Linked DNA regions of Cricetulus griseus. The protein of the gene in region 2 interacts with the protein of the main gene of each other region in a pairwise test. Links are inferred from orthologs where the notes say so. Each region holds a gene or a part of one and is shown on either strand. Other genes may lie near its edges. The genes, in order: Shmt1, Mapk9 and beta-arrestin-2.

Region 1 (5,974 bases), about 10 Mb from region 2:
GTATTTGCTAAAACATTTTTTTGGAATAAGGTTTATAGAGATAAGAACTTAGTAAAATGTAAGGATAGAATTAAAAATTAGCTGCTGGTGGTGGCCATACCTTTAATGCTGCAGAGGGACAAGTAGATCACTAAATTAGAAGCCAGCCGGGACTATATTCCAGGCTGGCCAAGGCACATAGTGAGAGCCCATCTCAGCAAACAAACAATAAAAATTAGGCATGATCCTAAATCACATTGTTTTGCTACCTAAGGGTGACCCGAGCCTCTGGTCATTCACTTCACCTTGTTTTGCTATCTGACTGAGGGTGACCCTGAGCCTCTGGTCATCCACCTTTACTCCCAGATGTTGAGATTATAGATTCTTGCCAGCAGGTCCTGTTCATTTTGTTTTAAGTTTATTTTTGTTGCTGTTTTTCTAATTAAACTCTGTACGGCCAAGGGTGATCTTGAAGCTTCTGATTCTGCCACTTTACGTCCTGAGGGCTGAGATTTCAGGCATGTGCCACCCTCCCCAATTTATTCAATACTGGAGATCAAGCCCGAGGGATTATGAATGCTAGATAAACCCTCTAGCAACTGGGCTACCCTCCAACCTCATGTCTGTTTTCTTCTGATAAGGTTTACAACATTATTAAAAAAGAGAACAATCGGCAAAGGATTGGATTGGAGCTGATTGCCTCAGAGAATTTTGCCAGCAGAGCTGTGTTGGAGGCCCTGGGATCTTGCTTAAATAATAAATACTCTGAGGGATATCCAGGCCAAAGGTGAGTGAGTGTTCTTAAAGTCCTGCTTTGATCATTTGTTTTTATTTCTTGTTATGTGGTTCAGGCTGACCTTTAGCCCTAATTCTCCTGCCTCAGCCTTCCAAGTGCTATGTGGTTTTAATTTACAATTCCTGGCTTTCAACTAATATGTAACTTTCAAAAACCTGTAGCTTCCTAGTTGTCTTCCCTTCTTGCTCTGTGATGTGACTCCTCCAGTTCTCGGCTTGGGTGGGATTTTGTGATCTTTCTTAGAGCTGTCACACTCAACAGTCCCTATATGAGACCTTTGTAGAATAGGCTGGCCTCGTCCCTCTGGGTTCAAGTGGTTATGAGCAGGCTTGTCTATGAGAGATGTAGTCAAGGCTCTAGGAAAGGTCATTGTCCTGAGAGAAAGTTACAGAGAGTGGATTGCTCTGAGAACCTTTGCATCTAGGAAGTGGAAAAACAAAACAAAAACCCTGTATTGCAGGCTCAATATACCTCCTCTAAAATGCTTTCAATCAAAAGTGTTTTTCATTAATTTTTCTACTTGATTCTTTGCTCAAGCAGTCTATATCTGAAACTAGTGGTTCAAAATTTGAAACTTTGGGTATTTTGTGAGTTTTACTATGTAGTCATACAACTTGGTGTGTGGACCAGATTGGCTGCACACTTGTGTTGCTCCTCCTGCCTCTATTTCTCAAGTGGCATGCACCACTATGCCTGATCTTTTTTTGTTGTCTTTGGTGGTGCTTGCTGGGAGTTGAATTTAGGACTTCATGCACACTAGGCAAGTCTCCTGCCACTGGCTTTGACACTCTCCACATTGAAACCTGTTTGTTGGGACAGAATTTCAGAATCTCACTGCATAGCATAAGCTCGGTCCTATCTATCTATATATCTATCACAGTCATTATAAGACAAACAAAATATAGAAGTTGACAGTGGTTTTTGCACCTGCTTGTTCCAATGGGAACAGGAAAAAGGAGAGCCTCCAAAGAATACAATGTGTTCTGTCCTGAGGTACCCTTGTTTCTTTTCCCTCTCTTTTTTTTTCTTGGGACAGGGTCTTTGTATATAGCACCAGCCAGCCTGGAACTCCTCCTGCTTCAGCCCGCCAAGTATTGCTTAAAGGTGTGCACCACCAGGACTCCTCCCCCACCCATCTACCCATACTCTGCCCACCCTAGGCAACTTTGATCTCTGCTAGGCACAGAGACTGGGCCCAACGTGGATGGTGGACCATGCTTCCTTTTACAGGTATTATGGTGGGACCGAGTTCATTGATGAGCTGGAGACACTGTGTCAGAAGCGTGCATTGCAGGCCTATCATCTGGATCCTCGGTGCTGGGGCGTCAATGTCCAGCCTTATTCAGGTGATCATTGCATCCATGTAGACCCTGCGTAGCTCCATAGGCCTTGCTCTATGGTGTTACAGCCACCAAGTCAAGTCCTACAAAAAGCTTCTCGCCGGGCGTTGGTGGCGCACGCCTTTAATCCCAGCACTTGGGAGGCAGAGGCAGGTGGATCTCTGTAAGTTCGAGACCAGCCTGGTCTACAAGAGCTAGTTCCAGGACAGCCTCCAAAGCCACAGAGAAACCCTGTCTCGAAACCCCCCCCCCCCCAAAAAAAAGCTCCTCATAAATAACAGAGAGAAGCCAAGGAATGTGTACATCCATCTCTATTGCCCTTGGACCTACTTAGGCTCCGCACTCCCCTCCCAAGTAGCATTCTCCACTGGGACTTGGGATCAGTGGGACTTTCTAAGGCTCAGGAAAATCATGGTGATAGCCTGCTGAATGATTGTGTAGTAGCCAAGCTCCTGGATGCCACTTTGTGTCTCATGGGTAGAAATTCTCATGACCTCTCTCTTGTCCCTGTTTCAGGCTCCCCTGCAAACTTCGCTGTATATACTGCCCTGGTTGAGCCCCATGGACGTATCATGGGCTTAGACCTGCCAGATGGAGGTCATTTGACTCATGGCTTCATGACAGACAAGAAGAAAATCTCTGCTACATCTATCTTCTTTGAATCTATGCCTTATAAGGTAGGGAGTGTGTATCTCCTCAGAGCTTTCCTTATGAGTTGGCACCCACGGGGATAAGTCATTTCATTTACACAGCACTGCTGCAGCCCCTTCTACTAGATCTCACCTCCTTGCCCCAAAGATTCTCCAGGCTCTTGGCACACTGCCAAGAAAGTGGAAGCTCAGGCATAGCTTCCATATGACATGATGGAAGCTATGCCTGAGAAAAGATCAGATAGCCAGACTCCTAGCAACAGCTGGTGGCACACCAAAATCAATAGGCAGTGTCCCTATCTCTAGCTCTAGCATCAATACTAGCAGCTTCTAGGTGGTGTGTTTTGGTTGTATGAGTATTTGCCTCTGTGTGTGTGTGTGTGTGTGTGTGTGTGTGTGTGTGTGTGTGTGTGTGTGTACACATATGTAACAGGTATGTGTGTATCTGATGCCTGAAGAGGTCAGAAGAGGGTGTTGATTTCTTGGAACTGGAGTGTGCATGTGTGTGGGTGCTAGGAACCAAATCTGGGTCCTCTGCAAGAACAGCAAATGCTTGTATCTGCTGAAGAATTTCTCCAGCCCTTGTCTTTATTATTTTGGTTAGTTGGTATCTTAGTCTGTAACCCAGGCTGACTTTGAACTCATGACAATCCTTCTGCCTCAGCCAGTGCCCTGCCCCTGGTCCTGGTCTGTGTTGTGGCAGGTTGAATTGTCTCAAATGGGTGAGCAGGGGTCACTGTGTGACCAGAGGGAGTAGCCAAGCCTGTGTCTTCCTGCTCCCGACAGGTGTACCCAGACACTGGCTACATTAACTATGACCAGCTGGAGGAGAATGCCAGCCTCTTTCACCCGAAGCTGATCGTCGCAGGTGAGTGGCAAGTGGGGAGCAGCCTGGTTCCTGGGCAGGGCCTCTGTGTCCTACAGAGAAAGATGGATAGATATCCCATCCTCCAGCTCACTGTGCAGAGCTCAGGACTTGAGACAGAATTACTTTGTCCTTTTAAGTCTTGGACTGTAAAGAGCCTTTCTTCTAGCCAGACTGCTGCCATCTTCATGAGGTCAGCTGTGCCTGCTTTCAAGGGTCCATCTTGATTGGGTCTGTGGATGGTTGACATTTGCCCTCCTAAAAGGAGGGAGCCAGAAGGGCCATTGAACCCTCACATGAGTGTCAGGCTACTTCCCCCAGCCATCTGCAGTTCTGCCCTAAGTGCATGTGGCCTCCATAAGGGGCTAGAGTATCTAGTCTGGGGAAGCCTGGGGGAAGGGAGCTTTCTTAATTCTGTTATGGAGGAGCCGTCTATGCTGGTCAGGACTTTCCAGGACAGCTGCATTTGGATCACCTACACTTCTGTCACTAATCTCACCCATAAAGCAAACCCAATAAGCTCTGGTTTCCCACGGTGAACTTGTACTTGGTTTTGTTATTGACCATATGAGGGTAAGGTAGACATTGTTCATGTCCCTCTCACACAAGACTTTTTAACAGCTTGCCATCAGTAGTGCTTAGTGGGTCAGTGCTTCAAGCCTTAGGCTTTTCTTAACATGTATAAAAGCACAGGGGTGGTTTTATTTTGTTTGATTGGTTGATTGTTTTTGAAATGGTTTCATTGTATATCCACTGGCCTCTGCCTTCCCAGTGCCGGGATTAAAGGTGTGTACTACCACACTTAGCTCAGAGATGGTTACAGACCACATTGCACCTCTGTCCTCAAAGATGGGGTGGGTCTCCTTTCACATCTGTGCATCAGAGACTAGATCAGCTGCCCTGGGAATCTTTGACACTACCATGTCTCCTCTGTCTCAGGGACCAGCTGCTACTCTCGGAACCTGGACTACGCACGTCTGCGAAAGATTGCTGATGATAATGGGGCATATCTCATGGCAGACATGGCACACATTAGTGGGCTGGTGGCAGCTGGTGTGATACCCTCCCCTTTTAAATACTGCCATGTGGTGACCACCACAACCCACAAAACCCTGAGAGGCTGCCGTGCTGGTATGATATTCTACAGAAAGGGTAAGTTCCCACCTGGTGGGACAGGCAAAGGGTGGAAGAAACCAGGAATAATACTCTGGACTGTGACTTCTGGAAAAGATCAGGATTCTGTACCTTGAAGAGCTCATCAGGAAAGAGTAGTGATGGGCTTTGTAAGAAGCCTCAAGCCACAGTTCTGGCCTCAGTGTGTGTGACAGAAAGGGGCTTAGCCAGTGTCCTGCTCATCTGACCCTCCACACAGGAGGAAGGGTGGGGTAGCTCTAGAATGCAGCTATTTTGATGAACTTGTTATGATCTAGCATATTTGTCAAAGAGAATTTTTTTTTTTTTTAATGCTATTATTGATGGGGATACTCACACACCAAAATGTCGAGGTCAGAAGACAACTTTTGAGAGTTGTTTCTCTCCTTCCATTGTGGGATGCCGGGGTTGAACTCAAGTTGACAGGTTTGTACATCAAGCACTTTTATCTGCTGAGCCATCTCCATGCCCTCATAAGGAAAGACTAATGTGTGCTGGAAGTGGGTAATCCCAGCTCTTAAGATGAAACAGGAAGATAGGAATTTGAGGCCATCCCGAGACTTTGTCAAAGGAAAGGCGGAGGGTGACAATGAGACTAACACACTGTCATGCAACAAGAATTAAGCTATAAAACATTGATACAGGAGGCATGCATGGTTGCATGCATGCATCTGTAATCCCAGCACCTTGGAAGGCATAGGCAGGAGACAGCTGAAAGTTTAGGGGCAGATTACTGAAGTTAAGTTCTAGGTCCGCCAGTGCTAGGTAATTCAGACTCATGTTTCATGCATAAAACAGAAACAAATAACCTCTGTATAAGTTTCATCATTTTAGTAAGTTATTTCTCTTCTCACTACCTTACATCCTACTTCTGCATTTTTCCCCTGAATCTCTAGCTGCTACAATGGTGAAAGTTGTATCAATAGTTATGTAGCCATAGCTTTGGAGAAGCAGATAAACTAGCCCTCCGGTGTGTATTACACTGGTGGGATCTTATTGCCTTAGCCCACCCCTCCCTATTGAGGGCAAGTCCTAGTTAGGTCCCACTTTAGTCTCCCAGGTTCTGTGGCCTTGGAGGACCTTTGCCATCTTGCTTGGTGTGGAGTTGTTGGGTTTGTTGTTGTTTGCTTGTTTTGGTTTTGAAACAGGGTCTCATTCTTAGCACAATCCTCTTGTCTCAGCCCCTCAGTGA
Region 2 (5,974 bases):
CTCACAGACTTGCCTAAAGGCCAATCTGATGATGACATATTCTCAGTTGAGGTTCCCTTTTCCCAGATGATGCTAGCTTGTGTCAAGGTGACAAAAATACCAACAGCACAATTTGTTAACCAAATCATTATATATCTGTATATGCAACCACTTAAAAATGCATTACAGCTGTGCCCATTAAAGTGTATGAAATCTACCAACATTACAGGGGTGGACAGGAAGAATAGTATAATTGATCTTGTTTATACATATGTGAACATACATACACAAGCATGCTCACTAAAATGTTCATGCTAGTGAACTATGGCTGAAGGGCCCAGGGAGTTTTGCTTTCTAACTTATGTTACTTGAATTTTTAAAAATAATAAACACGCATTTTTGTAAACTGACAAAAATTAAATAAGTAAGATTAAACATACATTGAAAAACTAAAACCAACTCAAACCACAGATGCAAATGGAGGCCAGTGGTAGAGCATTTGCCTTGTGTATGTAAGGTCCTGGATTCAATCCCCAGCACTGCCCAAAATTAAAAAAAAATAATGTGACAAAACAATGAACTGATCTTAGTTGCACACTTAATGTCACCATACAGAAAGATCAAGCACAGATGTTGAAACAAAGGGTTTAGTATAATCTTAAATATTCCCTACTCATCTAAAGCCAGAGAGAGATGTCATGAACTGATCATGCAAATCTCCTCGAAAGGCTGAAGAGATGGCTCTGTAGGTAAAGGCATTGGCCGAAAAGCCTGCTGCTGATGGACTCAGTGTATCCCAGGGTCCCACATGGTGGGAAAAAAGAGAACTGATTCTGGAAAGTTGTCCTCTGACTTCCAATATGAGCAGTGGCATCTCCCTTCCCCCAATAACTAGATGTAATAAAGAATACATCCTAATTTTATCAATAAAATGTAAGCTTTTTTTTTTTAGTGTACTGGATGGTTTTGTGTGTCAATTTGACACATTAGGGTCATCAGAGGAAGGAGCCTCAGTTGAAGAAATGACTCAACAAGATCCAGTTAGTTGTAAGGCATTTTCTCATTTAGTGATCAAAGGTGGAGGACTCAGTCCATGGTGGGTGATGCCATCCCTAGGCTGCTGGTTCTGGGTTCTATAAGAAAGAAGGCTGAGCAAGGCAGGGGAAGCAAGCTAGTAAGCAGCTCCTCTCCATGGCCTCTGCATCAGCTCCTACCTCCGGGATCCTGCCCTGTTTGAGTTCCTGTCCTGATGTCCTTCAGTAAATGAACGTAGTGTTGAAGTGTAAAGCAAATAAACCGTTTCCTCCCCAACTTGTTTTTTGGTTATATTGCTTCATCCCAGCAACAGAAACCCTAAGACATAGAGTCTCTCTCATCATTAGTTAATCTTCAGTCTGATCACACTACTAACATCAAAGCACATAGAAGGAGCACCTGTAACTTACATTTTTATGATTGACACACTTTAAGAGGACAAGTTCACGATAGGCTCTCTTTGCATGCGTTTGGTTCTGGAAAGGACGGCTTAACTTCTTGACAGCAACATTTATCCCAAGAACTGTATCAAAAGCAGCACTATAATTAGGAAATATAATAAACAATCTATTAAAATGGCCTTTGAAAATAGCAATGGAGAATATACATTCAATGTATTATCTTTCAAAGCAAATAATAGACAAGGAGAAATATTTCTGTTCTTCCCCAATCAAGCTTTATGTACTTATGGAAAGTGAAGTGGCTGAGCCAGCAGGAGAGACTAACCCCCACCTCACCCTGACACTACCCCCCACAAGGCACCATGACTTTCAGCTACAGTTCCAGTAGGATTTAGCAATTCTTTGTACATTGAATTTTCAGTTACTAAGATCAGCAGGTTCAGAAACAGTTAATTTAATCCAAAGCATGTAACACAAGTCAAGGAATGAAATTTTCAGTTTAAAGACGTCAAGAAATTGAAAACTTCCCTGTTATCACTGATTAAAATGCCAGTATATTTTGGAGTATCACTGCAGATTCTGTGGTTGAGCTCATGGAAGGAATTTAATAAATCTAAGTTTTGACCGTTTATGCTTTCCCAGGCCAAAGAATCTAAAAAGAAACAGTAGCCCAAGTCTCAGCTCATGGTAAATTCCCAAGACACAAAGTCCCAATGTAAGCACTTGCTATATATAAAATTCTGCAGGAAATGCTGCCTCCTTTTATAGTAAGAGGAAAACCTAAAGCTCCACTTTCCAGTTCTCACATCCCTTCATGGAATTTAGTGTTAATTTTTCTCCAGAAATTGAATGCAGAAAAGTGAGTGGCATGATGACACATCTTCAGGTTTCAGGCCAGCAGTACTCAGTGTCATCAGTGAGAGGCCTTCTGATGGCTCAACAGGGGCTCAAGGTTGCTAAAGACAACCTGTGAGCCCAGGCATCCCTTCAAGCCCTGCCTGTCTATCCTCTCTGCCTTTGTAATAGTATTTACTCTTATTCCTTTCTGTTAATACTTTCTGCTGAACAACTCTAACTTAATTTGATCTGTTTTTAAGTTAAAGGCTGGGCATGGTAGAACTTGCTAAGAAGAATCACTACATTTGTTTTACACACACACACACACACACACACACACACACACACACACACACACACACACACCCCAGTCATAGGTGAGCCCACATGCTCACAGGCAAATTTACTACTCATATGAATATATGATGATTAAGAAAATCCATTGTGAGAGAAATCATTAATGTGCCTGTGTGTACATATACACTTGTATTTCTTAGATTCACCTTTCTGATCTCAAAGGTTTTTGTCTGAATTTTCAGACAAACAGGAGTATGACTGTGTTCAAGGACTCTACAGAATAACATTGCCTTCAGTTAGTAACATCACTATACTGTGCTGTTTTTTCTTTACTTTTTCTTCTTTGAGTCAAGCTCTTTCTGTGTAGTATTGAATCTTGCTATGTAAATCATGCTGGCCTTGAACTCACAGAGATCCACCTACCCTTGCCTCTGGAGTACTGGGATTAAAGGTGTGCACTACCATTCCTTACTTGTACTATATTCTTTAAAACTGCTAAGAAAGTAGATGTTAAGTGTTCTCACTGCAGAAAACGTGAAACATGTATATGTAATTTAGCTGAATTTAGCGATTCTATAATGTATATGGATTTGGAAACACTATGTATAAGTATGTGTGTGTGTATGTATGTATGTACTGACTAGTTTTTTTTTTTTTTTTTTTTTTTTTTTTTTTTGCTGGCTTGACATAGGTAGAGTCATTTTGGAAGAAGGAATCTCAATTGAGAAAATTCCCCGTTATAGACTGGCTTGTGGGGCATTTTCTTGGTTAATGACTGATGTGGGAGGTCCAGCCCATTGTGGGTGCTGCTACCCCTGGGTAAGTTGTCTTACAAGAAAACAAACTGAACAAGCCAGGAGGAACAAGCCAATAAGCAGTACTCCCTACAGCCTCTGTTTCAGTTGCCTTTAGGTTCTTGTCCCAACTTCCCTGGATGATGAATTACAAACTGAAAGATGAATAAATCCTTTCTTTCTTCTATGTTGTTTTTGGTCATTGTGTTTTATCACAGCAATAGAAATCTATCTAAATCACTCCTGTTCCAGCTCTAATGACCTTCAGCTATCCATGTTTTCTGTCTTGAGATGACCTTTTAACTCAAAGGTAAAGACACTTCCTAGTATGAAACAAAGGGGTTAGTTACCTCCAACCTCTCCCAGCTTTGTTCTAATGGAATTTCAAGGTTTCCTTTGTAAGTGGGTTAACACACCTTATCTTGCTCTTCCCCCACAACACAAGGTGATCTTATGTTCCACCCTGCTCTCTTTCATCTCTTTACCTTCCTCCCTCTTCCTCCAAACCCCTGTCTTAAACACTCCTCATTTTAAACTGATAGCTAAGCCTCTGTGCTGCTTCTTCAAGCTGTCTATTATAAACACTGACAACCAACTGAAAGTAAATGTACACACGTAAATATTACTAGTTGCAGAGCTGGGATTACGCTTCATTTTCCAAAGATCACAAATCTCTTCTGCCAATTACACACACAAAATTAGAATGTCTGCTACGTGGAGGTCAGATGGGCTCTCTCTCTGTCCTTCCAGCCTATCAGCTGCTTGAGCACCCTGCCCTTCTGTTTTCTATGTAGATGATGCCTCTTTCTATACTTCCTTCAACAAGGTTTTAACAAACAACTTTTTCCTAAGAGAAGAAAGCTCATCTCCCAAAGCCCATCACTGGTACCATAACCTCCCACTCAGACATCTATGCTTGGAATGGATTCATACTTTCTTTGAAGGCATCTCAAAGCCTTCTTCACAGAACTTATCCTGGGATTCCATTTCTGGCCTCTTGTATTTAACTGCCTTCTTGTATTACATGGCCTTGAGTTGTCTTGATTGTTGAAGTGTGTCTTTAAAGACTGTCCCCAGACAACATACACTGAAGATAAATGACCTTACTCTGCCCTCATCTTTGACTGACAGTCTGTCTTCTAAGCCGAAAATCAATTTTCTCTTAGAACTTTAAGGCCACTGCTTTCCAGCTCTGAGTGTTGCTGGTGAGGGAGGCTTTCATCTGACAGTCACTCCTTTGCTTTGTTTTGGGTTTTGTTCCTCTGCTCAATAATATATCACAAAGAGCCATGCTCTGTTGGTGCCCCCAAAAGTCCCCTTAACAGCCCCTCCCAATTGTTATCATTTTTGTCCACCAAAGAAGAAAATAACTTCTGAGGTTATTTATAGTCCTGGTTGGTTATCCTGAAACTCACTGTCAACCAGTTTGTCTGGTCTTGAACTCAGAGATCCTCCTGCCTCTGCCTCCCAAGTGCTGGAATTAAAGGTGTGTACCACGAAGCTTGGCCTAACTTCTGATGTTCATGACAACAACTTTCTCAATTTCACAAACATGTGCCCTTATATACAACTCTATCACTTATATTTGCCTGTTTTTTTTTAGAAGTCTCTGACTTTTCACTCAACACTGTATTTATGACTCACCCACTAGTCTGATTATTATAATTCACTCTCTCGTTGCTGTAATATTCCTTTGTGTGACTGTCACATGACACTGATTGCCACTTTAGTTCTTTTCAGTTTTCAAGTGATGATAAGACTCACTGCCATCGACATTCATGTGCGTGGCACCATTCCTCCAAGCATGTATCTCTGACATGCACATAGCCAAGTGGGAAAGCATAGATTCTACTTTAGTAGATAAAGCCAGACTGTCTTCAGTGTCTGTGTCCATCAGCAGTGTGCCAAGAGTCCATGCCTGAGAGCTGTAGAGAGCTGTATATGAACATCTTCACCAACACTTGGTATCATGAACAACCTACTTTTTACCCTCTGGGCTGAGTGTATTTCACCATGTACATAAGAATGTTGTTTTAATTTACATTTTCTAATGAAGGATGGCCATCAGATAATAAATGTTGAATTATTTTAAACCATTAATCTGTGGTAATTGATTATGGAGCAATAAAAAATTAACACATCTCTCTTCTGAATCCCTACTCTTTAGTCTCTGAGGCTTCATTCTGGGTATTTTCTGCTGATGTATCTTCCACATTACCAATTCCCTCTTCAGTTACATCTAATATTAACAAATACTTTCTTGGGCTGGAAAGATGGCTCAGAGGTTAACAGCACTTGCTCTTTCAGAGGTCCTGAGTTCAATTCCCAGCAACCACATGGTGGCTCACAACCATCCGTTATGAGATCTGGTGCCCTCTTCTGCCGTGCAGATATACATGGAAGCAGAATGTTGTATACATAATAAAATCTAAAAAAAATAAATAAATAAAAATAAATAAATACTTTCTTTAAGTTTGTAATTCAATTACTATAGCTTTCACTTTCACTTCTATTTCCACTTAGTTCTCTTTTTAGAAGTTCTTGTTCTTCCACTTAAGTTTTCATCTTGTTTATCATCTTGAACACATCACCACAGCTATTTAAAACTTGGACTAACGATGCCAGGATCCC
Region 3 (5,136 bases), about 20 Mb from region 2:
TGTTGGCTCCCTCTTTCACACTGCAATTGGGAGGAGGGGAGCTGGGTCAGGGATCCAGGGCTCCCACAGCATTAGCTGTGCAGTCATAGCAATGCGGGCTCATGGCATTCCTCTATGCAGAACCCTCCTGGGGCCTCATCTTTGCCAGGCACCAGGGTGCTTTGATCTGCAGCACTTGGTGTGCAGGTCCTCTCACCCACTTCTCTTTTTGTGGTCCCTTCTCACCATGTGGGCCTGTGTGGCGGTGTAGTGTGTACCCAGAGAAAAGGCACCACTGGGTGAGGCTCTGGCCTTCTGGGACCAGGGGTGCCCAAGGTCATACATAGTGACACATCACAATTCCTCATGCACCCTGGGGATCATCCCACCCGAGCCGCAAAGACTGCAGATCTATCTGCCTGGAGCCCTCTTGGCTTGCACACCCACAGGTCTCCTTCCTCTGGGCCCTTCAGTATTCACCCTTTCTGGCCAATCTATTTACAATCAACACAGCCTGACCCTTTCTGTACGTTATCCCTCCTGCTCTGCTTGCTTTTCCCACTTAACACTTGTTCCTAACATGCTATCTAGTTTACCACTTATCTGATTGTCTGTCTTCCCTCCCTTAGAATGTGAGAGGTTTTTGTCACTTCTGTTCACTGATACCTCCCTGGCACCCAGGACAGAGCCTGGCACACCGCCTGCACTGCACTGAACGGAAGCCTGTCCCCTGTCCCCCAGTCCACCAGCCCCGCCCTCACATGGTGCTAGAAGCCAGGTTGGTGTCTTCATGCTTGAGCTGCCCGTCCAGGGCAAGGCCACGCTTCTCCCGGTTGTCACTGAGCAGTGGGGTTATGGTGTACACCTTGCAGAACGTGGAACTGGGAGATACCTGGTCACTGGGGGTTGGGAACAAGGGAACAAGATTCTTGGAGAGACTGGACTGAGGGAGATTCATCATACCACCCTCAGGCGGTACTTCCTCCTTCTCTGTCCATCAGGGCAGATTACGAGGGGGTAGGTTCTGATGCAATCTGCTAACAGCCTGGAGCCCCCAGGCTGCAGAGGGACACCCTTAGAAGTGAGATAGGTTATAAGGAACTCTGCATTCTCATATTCTCCCCTAAGTTGGGTCCCACGGTTGTCCCATACTCACTCTTGCTCAAGCTGAGCCACAGGACACTTGTACTGCGCGGTGCTGAAGAGGCAAATGTCGGCATACTGTCTCACTGTGGGGTAGGGGACCAAGTGGCTTTGGGTGAAGTATAGACTACTACTGTACCACAACTCCAGACCACATGGTGTGAACCCCACTTGGGGGCAGCACACCCCCACCTCCTACCCCTGGCCAACAGCCCTCCTATAATAAACACTAGGGCTGGGCATCATCTGGGAACAGACTAAATTCTTTATGCCCTGGTAGTTCTCCCACACTGGGATATGGCCTGGGCTGAAATGGCAGCAGAAGCCCCTTGTAATCAGGGACTTCCTTCCCCACACCCATGTCCACCCCCACCTCCTACCAGAGACTCTAATCTTCTTGACGGTCTTGGCCGAGTTGTTGGTGACATGGACGTTGACATTGAGTGGCTCCCCGTGGTAATACAGCTTTTGAAGGGAGGGGATGACACAGTTTGCACTTGCTTCAGTGGCTCCAACTTGGGTACCTCTCTGATAGAGGCTGCTCTGCCCCACCTCCAACCCCAGTCCATAGCACCTCCACCCAAGTGAGGCAACCACCTTTAAAAAAAAAATCCCAAACCACCATCCTGCCTGTCGCTTCACCCCTCCCCCAGGCTCTGGCCTGCTTTGTGGCATCTCTGTCACTCTTTTACACCTCACCTCTTTGTCCAGGGAAGCCTCTAGGTGCAGGGACCTCCGGTCAGACATGAGGAAGTGGCGTGTGGTTTCTGCTGAGGGCTGGGGGCCAGGTATCTCTGGAGCAAACTGTACCTTTCTGATGATAAGTCGCACCGAGTTCCTGAGTCAGGGGGTGGAGCAGGGGAAGGGTTAGTTCCAAGACACTACAATTCAACTAAGATTCCTACCCCCAACAGGCGCCAGGGGCTCCATAAGGCTGGGAGGGAGTTGTTAAACCAGAGACAAAGTTTCTCTCACCTTTTGTGGCTTTTTTCTTCTAGAGATTTGGCACAGAAGGCACGAATCTCAAAGTCGACTCCACAGGCCTTGGAAGGGGGAGGAAAGGCCACCTCTTACCCAAGGCTCCTGTTGCCACTTCCAACACACCCCTTCCTTCCTACTTGCTTCATTCCCCTTAAGTGTGAACTTTTGCCCCATCTCGGAAACACGGACTCTCTTGCCCCACTGTCTCCTAGTCTGGCACCTTACAGAGGCTGGCTCATGGCAGTGCATGGAGGAACCCCCATACCCAGGTACATGTTCCAGATGCAGTGACCACACCATGCACACCCATGTCCATGGGGACACCTCCTTGTCTTCAGGACCCCCCTAAACTTCACCCTCTGGTTCAGTTGTGTTTTGTGCTTCTGCTGAGCCCAGTTCTGTTCACACACTGTGATAGCTGTCCCTCCCTTACCTTCCCTGTGTCCTCTGGTCCTGGCTGCAGTGTGACAGAGCAAGGCAAATTCTGGGGTAACTGTGGCAGAGAAAAGGAGGGGTTTCAGTCCCTGGTAACAGGTGCCTCATCCCATGTCAATCCTGCAGCCCCCCCCCCCCCCACTCCTCGGAGAAAAGGGAGCATCCTCACTGTGAAAAAAAAGGGATGGGCATGCTGGCCCAACTTCTTCAGCAGTCGGTCCTGTAGCCGGGTGGGGGGCCGGGGTGGGTTGGGCATGGGGGGAAAGGCTTGGTAGGTGGCAATGAACAGATCTTTGCGGAAAGACAGGCCCAGTACATCCAGGTCTTCTCGGCCATAGCGGAAGGCGCAGGTGAGGGTAACAAACACTGGAAAGCGAGGGCAAGGTGGGATGATCAAGAGACATCCTTCATGTCGCCCACATCCTTCCTCAGCACGACAGACTTCCCTGAATCCTACCCCCTGCTTCTGCCTCAGCCTTCCATCTGTCTGGGACACCCTACCAATGCCAACCCATCGAATTCCTTCTTCTTCCTGCCTCCCCTCCAGCTCCTGGACTTGGGTCTAGTACCTTTGCGGTCCTTCAAGTAGTCAGGATCCACGAGCACCACGCCATCTAGGAAAGGGAGACGTGGATTCATTTTCTGAAGGCGGCCTTTCCCCATCCCCAGAACCAGGAACCTCCTCCCTCCTGGGGGGATGAGCTACCCCCTTCTAGGCAAACTCACCCACAGGATCCACTTTGTCCAGGTGGTCTACAAAGTCGCGCTTGCCCAAGTACACGGTGAGCTGAGGATGTCAAGGGTCACAGGCAAAATTGGGGAGGATGGTGGCAAGCCACCAGAGCCCTCAAAGATGGCGGCCCTGTCCTGGGCTCCCCTTGGCTGGGTTATCAGGAAGGAGTTTCTCCCAGTGTTATTGGAAGGTGAGAGTGGTAGGGCTTTCCAGACTATTCAGTAAAGCTTTCATTTAGGCTTTTGTCTGCTCCTCTGGTCACTTTTCATACCGCTGTCCACCAAGCAAGGACAGAGGTGTATGTGTGTATATGTGTGTGTTCCCATGTCTTCAGGGAGCACTCAGTCAGACCAGGCAGTTAGCAGCTCTCCCCACAAAGGGCTCTGCAATAAACAGGCCACAGCCTGGGGAACTATTAACTTTTCCTAGTCCCAAGTACCCTGGGTTGGTTCCTAAGAGAATTACAAGCTTGCTTAGGAACCTAGCCTGGTCCCCACCCAGCCCTGTGGCTTCTTCAGACTGTGGCAAGGGGCTTAAGGAGGGAAGGAAGTCTGCTTTTAGCTGTCACAGGAAGTGGGGAGCTAAGGGTTGGGGATCAGCTGGGGGTAGGTTGGGCTTTGATAGGGCCCAGGAAGGATCGAAGCATAAGCACTGTGGGTGACTCACCTTGCAGTTAGGGCTCGACTTCTTGAAGACCCTAACAAAACAGAAAGGGAGACCCCACTGCCTCCCTTAGACTCAGCAGGGACCACCACACCAGGACTTATCCCTCCCTAGCCCAAGAAGTGGAATTCACCCTGGATCCCTGGTCTACCCTTCCCACTTTTTTTTTTTTTTAACAAAGTCCCAGTATTTTCCACATGGCAGCCCCTTGAAGCCAACTGTCAGGGCAAACACTTGCTCCTTTGATTTGATCCACCTCTACAGTAATGGCCACTGGTTGCTCCAGGAACCATCTAGACTCTCCCGAGGGCACCGTCCCCAGAAGAAGATGGGAACTAGATGGCTATCCAATGTCTGGGTCAGACCTAACACACTTTTCTTTTGAGACCGGGATTTAACTATGTAACCCTGGCTGGCCTGGAACTTGATATGTAGACCAGGTTGGCCCCAACTCTGAGATCCACCTGCCTCTGCATCCCTGATGGTGAGATGAAAGGCGTGAACCACCACCCTCAGTTAAACTAGCCACTTTTCAAATGACCTCTAGCTTCGAGGACACCTGGAGCAGTGCCTTGACTTTACCCCTCAGTTTCTACTGAAGGCACTGCCCACATCTGCTTATTTCATGAACCTCCAACATCCCCATCTCTGACCTCAGAATCTTAAAAAAAATGCATTTGTCGGTCAAGGCCTAACTCAGACATCATCTCCGTCAGATTGAAGACTCGGCCTCGACTTTAACCGCCAGCACAATAACACTCCCTCCTCCCTGTTCCTTTCCCATCTTGTTTATATTTTACTTGTGATTTCACAAAGGCTGACAGCTGTGACCCCTGGGATCTTGTACATTGAGGTGTCCCAACACAGTAGCATCCATGTGACAAAGAGGATACTGGCTAACATTTATTGGGTGACTGTTCTGGTCCTAGCAGTGTTCCAATTGCATTGTGACTACTCTAATAGCCCAAAGACATAAGTCGAAATAATTCCTGTTTTAGATAGAAGAAACCAAAGCATAGAGAGGTCAAGAATTTTGTCAAAGGTCAGAGAGAATGCACATGGTGGAACTCAGGCATAAACTTAAGGAAGACAACTCTGACTTTAAGTCCCTGCTGTCAACCATTAAATTGTTAAACTGGCCCATCACTGACAGTTTGTCCAGTTGAAGAGGGTTTTCTATACAGGCACTGAAATAATCTAAG

What was found.
Region 1: the proteins of Mapk9 (region 2) and Shmt1 interact in binary tests that used the Homo sapiens proteins (3 or more experiments, as listed by UniProt). The two-hybrid records come from large-scale screens. The link is inferred for Cricetulus griseus from reciprocal best matches to the Homo sapiens genes MAPK9 and SHMT1.
Region 3: the proteins of Mapk9 (region 2) and beta-arrestin-2 interact in binary tests that used the Homo sapiens proteins (3 or more experiments, as listed by UniProt). The two-hybrid records come from large-scale screens. The link is inferred for Cricetulus griseus from reciprocal best matches to the Homo sapiens genes MAPK9 and ARRB2.

Annotation. Positions count from the first base shown.
Region 1 is NC_048600.1:74,800,430-74,806,403, reverse strand, and holds part of Shmt1 (serine hydroxymethyltransferase, cytosolic), read left to right. Parts: intron 1-620; coding exon 621-766; intron 767-2,005; coding exon 2,006-2,121; intron 2,122-2,631; coding exon 2,632-2,792; intron 2,793-3,551; coding exon 3,552-3,633; intron 3,634-4,569; coding exon 4,570-4,782; intron 4,783-5,974. UniProt on the Homo sapiens protein: Interconversion of serine and glycine.
Region 2 is NC_048600.1:64,323,865-64,329,838, reverse strand, and holds part of Mapk9 (mitogen-activated protein kinase 9), read right to left. Parts: intron 1,555-5,974; coding exon 1,425-1,554; intron 1-1,424. UniProt on the Homo sapiens protein: Serine/threonine-protein kinase involved in various processes such as cell proliferation, differentiation, migration, transformation and programmed cell death.
Region 3 is NC_048600.1:84,233,646-84,238,781, reverse strand, and holds part of beta-arrestin-2, read right to left. Parts: intron 3,969-5,136; coding exon 3,938-3,968; intron 3,326-3,937; coding exon 3,265-3,325; intron 3,153-3,264; coding exon 3,108-3,152; intron 2,905-3,107; coding exon 2,708-2,904; intron 2,597-2,707; coding exon 2,537-2,596; intron 2,166-2,536; coding exon 2,098-2,165; intron 1,961-2,097; coding exon 1,822-1,960; intron 1,588-1,821; coding exon 1,503-1,587; intron 1,209-1,502; coding exon 1,136-1,208; intron 879-1,135; coding exon 741-878; intron 21-740; coding exon 1-20. UniProt on the Homo sapiens protein: Functions in regulating agonist-mediated G-protein coupled receptor (GPCR) signaling by mediating both receptor desensitization and resensitization processes.